Linked DNA regions of Ovis aries. The protein of the gene in region 2 purifies or fractionates together with the protein of the main gene of each other region. This does not show direct contact. Links are inferred from orthologs where the notes say so. Each region holds a gene or a part of one and is shown on either strand. Other genes may lie near its edges.

The links. The genes of interacting proteins can lie anywhere in the genome.
Region 1: the proteins of HDAC11 (region 2) and GCFC2 purify together in Homo sapiens (co-immunoprecipitation; 3 studies listed by BioGRID and IntAct, counting the BioPlex papers as one, with this or other methods). This does not show direct contact. The link is inferred for Ovis aries from reciprocal best matches to the Homo sapiens genes HDAC11 and GCFC2.

Annotation. Positions count from the first base shown.
Region 1 is NC_056056.1:62,829,066-62,835,444, forward strand, and holds the start of GCFC2 (intron Large complex component GCFC2), read right to left. Parts: upstream 4,018-6,379; 5' UTR 3,977-4,017; coding exon 3,706-3,976; intron 21-3,705; coding exon 1-20.
Region 2 is NC_056072.1:58,340,440-58,344,870, reverse strand, and holds part of HDAC11 (histone deacetylase 11), read left to right. Parts: intron 1-282; coding exon 283-325; intron 326-545; coding exon 546-622; intron 623-1,499; coding exon 1,500-1,562; intron 1,563-1,786; coding exon 1,787-1,883; intron 1,884-2,703; coding exon 2,704-2,882; intron 2,883-3,089; coding exon 3,090-3,305; 3' UTR 3,306-4,431. UniProt on the Homo sapiens protein: Responsible for the deacetylation of lysine residues on the N-terminal part of the core histones (H2A, H2B, H3 and H4).

The DNA.
Region 1 (6,379 bases), on a different chromosome or scaffold from region 2:
AAGATAAACCATTCTGGATTCTAACAGGACATTTTTTGAATATAACATGAAAGATTCAGGATATTGGAATCAATAAATGAAATTCTACACAACACATAGTGTATGTAAAATATGGTGTTTTAATTTTATTCCACATATTTAAAGTAGACATGCAGACCTTTCTTTAACTTCCTTTCTTTCTGAAATGAACAGTCTAATAAATATGCAACAATATATCCTATTTGCATTATCTACTTAACTAGTGAAATACTTAACTAGTGATATAACATGAAATACATACTATTAAAGAATGCAACAAAAAGAGGGAAGGGAAAAAACAAAAAGAGAAAAAAGTAAATGACCAAAAAAAGAAGGAATATTTAAAAGAGAAAAGACGAACAGTGGTAGTAAATAAGCAGATAAAGAAGAGAACACTTAATGTATACTTGCTATGTGCTAGGCATACTGAAGTCTGTTTTACAAAATATATTTCATTTAGTTCTCACAATTCAATAAAGTAAATGCTATTACTGATGAGGACACTAGGGACTGGAATGGCTAAATAACATGCCCAGTATCACAAAGTTACTAAATGGAGAAATCCAACTCTTGGATTCAGGCTGGTGGTAAGAAGTATTATAATGGGCACTGCAGTCTCAAACTAAATCATGGATCTATTTCCACTGTGTGATTCTGGAAAGGACACAGTCAATTAATCAATAAACAAAGATAGTATTAAAAGAGAACACCCCATAGAAGTGTTATCAGGACTGAATGAGCAAAACGTAAAGGAACTCATGGTATTATTGACAAAAAAGGACTTGTTGGTTCACAATTATTTTGTAATATTTGTGAATAACCTTAAGATTTAAGATTGCATAATAACTACTCTATCTTAAAAATGCTCCCTAAGGATTTCCCTGGCAGCCCAGTGGCTAAGACTGAGCCTTCCAATGAAGGGAGTGCAGGTTTGAACCCTGCTTAGGGAACGAAGATGCTACCAATCATGCATGGGTAAAAGATTCACTCAGAGCGCAAAACACATGGATGGATTTTAATCTAATTGAGCATAACAAAATGATATGGTTTCAGCTCCCACGTATCATGCAGAAATTGGCACTTGCCTCCTGTCTATACAAGGATTAAATCACAAACTGCTATAGTCACTGATCTTCAACACATCCTGAAAGGAGTTCAGGGTAGAGATCAGGAATGAGGAACTCTGTGCTTTGGAAAAATTGGCAGAACAGGCCTTCAGACAGGTATTTTCAGGAGATTTTATGAGCCCAGTTCTTGCATCCCCTCACATCTAGAAAAGCACTAAAATCATTATTGGTGACATTTGCTCCTCATGACTAGCAGCAAGCTTCTAATAAAGTATGTTTCTGACTGCCCAACTCCTCTTCACTAAAATCACATATAATACTGACCTCTTCCCTACATCTCTGGAGCAGTTTCTTAGAGCTATATGAAATGCTGTCTCTTGGACTACAGTTCTCATTTTGCCCCAAACAAAACTTAACTCACAACTCTCACACTGTGTGTTTTTTTCATTTGACATCCATTGCAAACTAACCTTTGAAAACCTATTACTTTTTGAGCTTCTTTGTAATACTAAAGTAGAATACTCTCAAAGAACTAAAAAGGCTATTAAATACTCTTAATCACCTATCTGTGGTTTTCTTCACACCTTCAAACAAAACAATATATTTCAACAGACTGAATGCAGAGACAGCTTTCAGAATTCAGCTGTTTTCTGATAAGCCAGACATTAAAGACATTTGCAAACTGAAAACAATGTCATTCTTACTATTTTTTGGAAAACAGTTGTTTTTCATAAAAATGTTTCTTACCCTTACATGTAATGAGTTAAATCTAAAAAAGAATAAAAATGCATCTTCATTTCTAATATGGTAAACCTTATAGGGGCTTCCTCTCTGGTGGCTCAGTAGTAAAGAATCCTCAGCCAAAGCAGGAAACTCAGGCTTGATCACTGGGTCGGGAAGATGCCCTGGAGAAGGAAATGGCACTCCAGTATTCTTGCCTGGAGAATCCCATGGACAGAGAAGCCTGAAAGGCTATAGTCCTTGGGATCACAAAAGAGTTAGACATGACCTAGCATCTGAACAACAATAAACATCATAGATACAATCCACAGAAACAAAGGTTCTTTGGGATCTTTAATTATTCTTAAAGAGTATAAAGGGTAAACTTTAAGACCAAAGGGATAAGAACAAAACGTTTGAGAACCAAAGTTTAATCAGATGACTTACATAAAGCACAAAAATATTAAAAAAAAAATCATGAACACTTCAGACAAACAGATGATTATGAACAATGACTAAGAAATCAACAAATCATTTGGACTAAAAATACTGGGGTGAAAATATTCCTACCTCATGACTATATAACCAAAAACTATATATATATTTTTACAGATACTTTATTGAAATTATACCATCTTGAAAAAAAAAGTAACATATTTGTAACATAAGTTTGTTTTCTACATGGTATTTCATCCTGTGACAAACCAGAAATGTTGAATTATCATTCTACTGGTGACATTATCCACAGGTGACAAACTGGATATTCTACTCATATTAACAGGGCAGGGATTAACCTCAGTTCATCAAATCTGGGTGTTATGTATTCTGGAGTGCCATGGATTGAAGACAAAGTAGGTAAAAAGTGCCATTTACCTGGAGAAGCTGATTGCTTCTAGAGACTTTACAACTAAGTTCACGATGGAATATTTTTAGAAGTTCCTTTTAGACTGAAATATAATCTCAAATATTTTTATGCGTCTCTAAGTCAGAAGTTAATGTATTTATACTTCAAGACCCCACTTAAACAAGTTCCTTCCAAGTCTGTTTCTGTGTTTTTCTTTCTTCCTCTAACTATATAGCTTTATTTCTAACTATATTATCAAACTCAATTCAAACTAGAACACATCTCATGTAAACAACTTTATGCTGCCTGAATCCTATTTTCAAGAAGGCAAAGGTACTTCAAAATTGCTGTATTGCATTTAACACTTTATTGGTAGTCTACAGCGTCACCAATCAGTGAAAGTCGCACAGTTGTGTCCCACTCTTTGCGACCCCATGACTATGCAGTCCATGGAATTCTCCAGGTCAGAATACTGGAGTGAGTAGCCTTTCCCTTCTTTCCAACCCAGGGATTTAACTCAGGTCTCCCGCATTGCGCACGGATTCTTTACCAGCTGAGCCACAAGGGAAGCCCAATCTACTGTTAGTGACACAGCGCTATGCTTATCTTTTCTTTAAATAACCGATTAAAAAAAAAAAGTCCAAAAGTCTGTCACCTAAGTTTTCCCAGCGTACCGGTTTGGTTAAGTGTTTTCGAGAAAAAGAATTGGGGACAGAAAGCACTTCCGCCTACCGAAGAGTATTAGGAATTTTTAAACTTTTGAGTGACAATTTAGGTTCTCCGTAAAGCATCAAGATTAACACTAAAGCGGTCACTGGTGAGAGTTCAGTTGACGATGCAAACACAAGCCCAAACCGCGCAGAGTTCTTTCTACGCCCCCAAGCGGCCCAACATGGACATGCAGGCAGCAGGCCAGCGTTCACAGACAGGCACCTCCGCGATTCAGCGCCGCTGTAGTAGGCACCGCGTTACGGAAACCTTTAGACAGTCCCGCGGACTTCCACCTCACCCTCCCCACTCCCCGCTCCGGCCGCCCACTCTGCTGCCCAGCGTCACCTGGGACGTCCGAGGACCCGTCCAAGCGCGGAGCCGCTCTCGCGGCGTGCCGGGAACTAGCCCAGGCCCGGCCGCGGCGGCGGCCCCGGCCCCGGCGGCGCAGTTCAGACACCTCTGCGTGGCCTCTTCCACACGGCGGCCCTTCCACCGCAGGGTCCCGGGCCGCCTGCTCCCCCGTCGCCCCGGGTTCAGCAAATGTCTCCTGGGCGCCGTCGCTGTCACTGGAATCTGCTCGGCGCGGCCGGAACGTTCTTTTCGGCCTGTGAGCCATGGCCGAGGCCCCAGCGCCCCGCGCAGCTTCCTCTTCCCGCCGGCTAACCCCGCCCCTCTAGGGCAACTACCCAGGCAGACGCTCCTGCCTTTCCACCGCTTGCTTGCATGGGACCCGCCCAGCTGAGATGTCAGCTTCGCCCTTCGCATGCGTGCTTTGCTTCTCTCAATCTGCTGGAGAGCTGGGGTTCCAGGGATGAGGTATGGGGATGTAGAGCGTTCTCTTTGCTTTGCAAGGTGAGCTTGAGCAGATGGTCGCTGAGAAGTTCTCACAGACTCTGCCGTGGAGAGCAGCGCTCACAGGCTCCCTTGTACAAACGCTGTCGAGGAATCAGGCATTATGCCCACATCCTGGACTGGGACTGGATCTGCTCTTCTACTTTCTTTTTTTTTTTTTTTTTTTAATTTGTACATGTTTTTATTTTTGTTGTGGTATCTGCTGCTCTTCTACTTTCTAGGGAGAGTGAAGTCCTCTCTCCGAACAAGCATTAAAGGAGAAATGAAGCATTTTGTATCAATAAACAAGGATGTCACAGTAGTCAGTGATTCCAGCTCTCCAGAGCAATTGGGAAGAAAATAATACCTGTGATCCGGCTTTAGCTGCTCTTCAGTGAGTACTCAACATTCAGAAAACTACGATCATAGCATCTGGTCCCATCACTTCATGGGAAATAGATGGGGAAACAGTGGCAGACTTTATTTTGGGGGGCTCCAAAATCACTGCAGATGGTAAGTGCAGCCATGAAATTAAAAGATGCTTGCTCCTTGGAATAAAGCTATGACCAACCTAGACAGCATATTAAAAAGCAGAGACATTACTTTACCAACAAAGGTCCATCTAGTCAAAGCGGTGGTTTTTCCAGTGGTCATGTATGGATGTGAGAGTTGGACTATGAAGAAAGCTGAGAGCCGAAGAATTGATGCTTCTGAACTGTGGTGTTGGAGAAGACTCTTGAGAGCCCCTTGGACTGCAAGGAGATCCAACCAGTTCATCCTAAAGGAAATCAATCGTGAATATTCATTGAAAGGACTAATGCTGAAGCTGAAACTCCAATACTTTGGCCACCTGATGCGAAGAACTGACTCATCTGAAAAGACCCTGATGCTGGGAAAGATTGAAGGCAGGAGGAGAAGGGGATGCCAGAGGATGGGATGGTTGGATGGTATGACCAATTTGATGGACATGAGTTTGAGCAAGCTCTGGTAGTTGATAATGGACAGGGAAGCCTGATGTGCTGCAGTCCATGGGGCTGCAAAGAGTTGAACATGACTGAGAGACTGAACTGAAACTGAAACAGTGAGTACTGAGGAAAGCAGGGTACTGGCCGCCCGAGATAGCTGAGATACATATGAAAGAAATTTCAGTGAGCCCAAACTCTTACATTTTCCCACACATAGAATAACGCTAAATTCCTTGAGATATCTGGTTTTCTTTAATTCACAAAAATACTTTTGAGGTTAAGATTACCTGCCCTTTGTTGCATTCAGTTCAGTTCAGTTGCTCAGCCGTGTCCGACTCCTTGTGACCCCATGGACCTCAGCATGTCAGGCTTCCCTGTTCATCACCAACTCCCTCAGCTTGCTCAAACTCATGTCCATCGAGTCGGTGATGCCATCCAACCATCTCATCCTCTGACATCACTTTCTCCTCCTGCCTTCAATCTTTCCCAGCATTAGGGTATTTTCTAATAGGTTAGCTATTCACATCAGGTGGCCAAAGCATTGGAACTTCAAGCATCAGTCCTTTCAATGAATATTCTGGACTGATTTCCTTGAGGATTGACTGGTTTGGTCTCCCTGCAGTCCAAGGGACTCTCAAGAGTCTTCTCCAACACCACAGTTCAAAAGCATCAATTCTTCAGCACTCAGCTTTCTTTATGGTCCAACTCTCACATCCATACATGACTACTGGAAAAACCACAGCTTTCACTAGACAGACCTTTGTTGACAAAGTAATGTCTGTTTTTAATATGTTGTCTAGGTTTGTCATAACTTTTCTTCCAAGGAGCAAGCGTCTTTTAATTTCATGGCTGCAGTCACCATCTGCAGTGATTTTAGAGCCCAAGAAAATAAAGTCTGTCACTGTTTCCATTGTTTCCCCATCTATTTGCCATGAAGTGATGGGACCAGATTCCATGCTCTTTGTTTTCTGAATGTTGAGTTTGTCAGCCTTTTCACTCTCCTCTTTCACTTTTGTCAAGAGGCTCTTTAGTTCCTCTTCGCTTTCTACCATAAGGGTGGTGTCATCTGCATATCTGAGGTTATTGATATTTTTCCCGGCAATCTTGATTCCAGCTTGTGCTTCATCCAGCCCAGCATTTTGCATGATGTACTCCGAGTACAAGTTAAGTAAACAGGGTGACAATATATAGCCTTGATGTACTCCTTTCCCAATTTGGAACCA
Region 2 (4,431 bases):
CTCCAGCATTCTGGCCTGGGAAATCCTGTGGGCAGGGCAGCCTGGTGGGCTGCAGTGCTCGAGGTCAGAGTCGGACGCTACTGAGCGCGCTCACGACGCGCTGCCGTCTCAGAGGCCAGCCGGGGGGTTGCCGGGTGGGGGTGGGTGGTGCCCCCCGTACCCCACCTCACAGCTCATCCGCACCTTGGAGCTGCCTGCAGTGTTCACGGGGGTAGTGAGTCAGTGCAGGAGTGAGTGAAGCGCTCGGCCCCTGCCTGCCTCAGCCTGTGCTTGTTTTCAAAGGCGGGGAAGCTGGCAGTGGACCGCGGCTGGGCCATCAACGTAGGTGAGTGCCCCGGGGCTGGGCCTGGGGCCTGGTGGCAGCTGCTCGGATGCCGTGATGGCAGAGCTGCCCCCCGACCCAGGGACCCGGGGGCGGTGACCTGCCCCGGGGGGGTCCGTTTGCCTGGCCAGCCTGGAGGCCCAGAGCTGTCCCTGGGAGGATGGAGGGGGCACCTGGGGCGTGCCCTTGCCCAGCCCTGCCCACTCCACGACTGTCCTCGCAGGCGGCGGCTTCCACCACTGCTCCAGCGACCGGGGAGGGGGCTTCTGCGCCTACGCGGACATTACACTTGCCATCAAGGTGCGTCCGAGCGCTCGTGACGGGCGGGGGCGAGGGTGATCGTCTCCAAGAGCCTCCCTGAACGCCCCCCAGCCTAGTGTTCTCAGCACACTTTCTCACGAAGGGAGTCAAGGCCCCGAATGGGAGGGAGCTCACCTGGGTCCCTCAGCTGGGCTGAGACTCAAACGTGGACGTGACACCTGCTCGTGTCTGTTGCCTGTGGGCCTTCTCCAGGGGCCGGGGACCGGAGGAGAGCAGCTTACAGGACGCCACTAGATTATTAACAGGAGACAGGGCTCTGCTCCAGGAGAGCGGGGAGGAGACAGGGATCAAGACCTTGATGGTGGCAACAGTGACTGGCATCTGCGGGGCTCACCCCTTCACCCTCAGGGAACGGGGCCGGCAGGGCTGAGGGCACAGCCCGAAGGGGCAGTGTTGGCCGTGGCCTCCGCGGCTGTCAGAAGCCAGCGCTCTGCCAGCACCCGCGTCGGGGCTCAGGCTGGGTGTCCATGTGGTCCCCGCGGCTCCTGTTCACCCGGCGTGGGAACGGATGAGGAGGAGGGGCAGTAGACCCTGGCCGTTTGGAGAGGGAGAGGCCAGGAGGCCTGGCGGGAGGGGAGGGCAGGGGAAGGAAGGGCTTCCCCGAGGCGGTGGCTCTAGGGCCGGGCCCCTGTAAGAAGGCGGAGACGGCAAGACGGAGCTCCGGGTGCAGCTGGGAGGCGGTCCCCGCTGCAGACACACACAGGCTCCTCTGAGCCCCACAGACCTCCCGGCAGCCTGGGGTCTCCCGCAAGCACGGAGGCGCTCCCAGCCCACCCCGTCGCCGACCAGGGCCCCTGGGGGACCGCGCCCTCTCGCCCGGGGGGTCCTCACCTCTCCCCTCTCTTGCCCTGGGCAGTTCCTGTTTGACCGAGTGGAGGGCATCTCCAAAGCCACCATCGTGGACCTCGACGCCCATCAGGTGAGCGCCCGGCGGGGCTGGGGTCTCCCTCTCCCCAGGCGGCCTCCGACACACGGCCCCACGCGGTGGGGTTCCCCACCCCCAGGAACACCCCTGAGCCCCAGGCTGGGCCTCTGCTGCCCCTCCACCACCCCCCCGCCCAGGGGGCGTTCCCTGGGGCGTGCTGGGGGGTCCTGGCCTGGCCCCGGGTGGCCTGCCCTGAGCGCCTTCTGTGTCCCCACCAGGGCAACGGGCACGAGCGCGACTTCATGGGCGACAAGCGCGTGTACATCATGGACGTGTATAACCGCCACATCTACCCCGGGGACCGCTTCGCCAAGCGTGAGTGCCCCCCACCCCAGCGCGCCCGCCTGAGCTGGGCTCTGTCTGCCGGGCTTCCCCTGCGTGCCGGGCCCTGCAGACATCACTTCACTTCTTGACCCTCCCCATCCCAGGGAGGGGGAGGCCATCCCCACTTCACAGACAAGGAAACTGAGACCCGAGAGGTCGCTTGACCCACGGAAGACCGTGTAACAGCCCCCCCCCCCCCCGCCAAAGCACGCGGTGAATCCCTCTGCTGGGGTGGCTGCCTGGAGAATAGAGTGGGATTTTCTCCCGGGCATGCAGCTGTCCGGTCGAAAATAGGGAAGGACAAGAAAGAAACAGAAAAATGTAGAAGTAGAAAACGCAAGATAAGATGGCAGAAATCAGCTCAAATGTGACAGTTAAATAAATGCCAGTGGGTTAAACTCATCGATTAAAAGGCAGGAGACCCTTCGATGAAGCTTTGAAGACAGGGGGACCTGCCCACCCTGTGGGGAGGGGACACTTACGCAGAAAGCGCCTGCGGGTGACTCAGCCACTCTGTGGCCCCAGGGACCCGATTCCGAACTGAATCTCATCTCGAGCGGACTGGCTTCGGACCCGAGGGCACATGGGGTGTCTGTGTCTCTGGAGAGAGCTCACGGAGGCAGTGAGCCCAGGCGCCTGGTGTGGGTCCCTGAGCCCCAGGCAGTGTTCCATCCGCTGTCCTTGTGCTCTGTTAGCTTACTTTTGGGTGGGTGAGCGGCTGAGCAGCGCTAGAGTCAGATGGGAAAGCAGGCAGTGCCCCCAGCCCCCGTTTCCCGGCTGCACGCTGGGGCATCGCTGTCTCCCCTGCCAGAGGCCATCAGGCGGAAGGTGGAGCTGGAGTGGGGCACGGAGGATGACGAGTACCTGCAGAAGGTGGAGAGGAACCTGGAGAAAGCTCTGCAGGAACACCGCCCCGACGTGGTGGTGTACAACGCGGGCACGGACATCCTCGAGGGCGACCGCCTCGGCGGGCTGGCCATCAGTCCACAGGTGCGTCCCGGGGCGGGGCGGGGGCAGGCTCTGCTCTGGGGACTCAGCAGCGACGGGAACGTGGGTGGCACGGGCGTTCCTCCTGAGGCCAGAGGGCTGGGCGGCAGCAGCAGCATGGAGCGGGCTTAGACTCACAGCAGGACTTCCACCACCCTGAGGGTCCGAGCCTGCCTGAGCCCATCTTCCCCGTCCCCCGCACCCACCCAGGGCGTTGTGAAGCGGGACGAGCTGGTGTTCCGGATAGTCCGTGGCCGCCAGCTGCCCATCCTCATGGTGACCTCGGGCGGCTACCAGAAGCGCACGGCCCGCATCATCGCCGACTCCATCCTTAACCTGTATGGCCTGGGGCTCATCGGGCCCGAGTCTGCTAGCGTCTCAGCACAGAACTCAGACACGCCTCTGCTGCCCCTGGAGGTGCCCTGACCACGCTGCCCTCTCGGAGGCTCCCCGCCTGCAGCCCGTCCACCCACCCACCAGCCTCCCAGCGCATCTCCTCCTCCAGCCGAGGGGTCGGGGGCGCCTTGCACAGCTCCGCTCTCCCCCCGCCCCGGGTATTGGGGACTCCGGGCCCCTCTGCAGATGGGGCAGAGGGCAGGGCCTGAGTCCTGGCAGGACCCACAGGGGCACGGCCTGACCAGACCGCAGAGGTGGTGGTTCTCCCCAGAGGGAGGAGACAGGTGAGGCTCCGGTGCAGGGGGCGCTCCTCAGGGTGGGATGCTCCAGTTTTCAGCATAGCACGGCCGTTTCAGACTGAGGAGGCTTGCAGGATCGCCCTCCTGCCTCTTCCACACCCTCTCCCCCTCCCGCCAGGGGTGGGCCGTCTAAGAGGGGGCTGAGCCGGGTCTCTCTGGGCAGGGATTCCCAGGCAGCAGGCTCGAGCCCTGGTCCTGGATGTGGGGTCGCGGGGAAGGCGTGCAGGTACAGGTGGGTCTTCCCGTCTGGCTTCTCCATCAGTAAAGGAAGGGCTGGACCCGCTGTCCCTGAGCCCCTCCCCGCTCGTGGGAGGGTAGAGAGGGGAGCCTGTTCCACCAACATCTTGCTTGTCCAGAGGGAAGGGCAGGCTCGGGGTTGAGGGGCGGGGGATGAGCTCTGGGCTCAGGGACAGGACAGGCCTGAGCTCTGGAGGCCAGAGGGGTGGAGGGAACCGAGGCCTAGCCCAGGAGACCGCGGAGGGGCAGGTGGCCGGGTGGGGTCCCGCAGGCCTCGAGGCCCAGGTGGGGATTGCGGTGCTGGTGACGCCAGGCTGGGGTTGCTGGGGATGAGCGGAGGGTCTCCATCCTGGCCTGCAGCGGGTAGGGGGTTGGGGGCTGGGGTGAGGCCAGGTAGGGCTACAGCCTCCACTGGCCTCCCTGAAAATGTCAGGCCTGCCCTGCGCCTGGGGTCCCAGGTGGGCCCTGACCTTGTCACCGGCTCTGCTCTGAAGGGGATGCTCTGGACCCCCCAGGAAGCCAGGGTGAGGGAGACATCCAGCGCCCCACGGCCTGGGTGTGCTCTCGGAGATCAGAGTTGGGGGGAGGGAAGGTGGGCCGTCCCTGGTCAACCCCCGTGG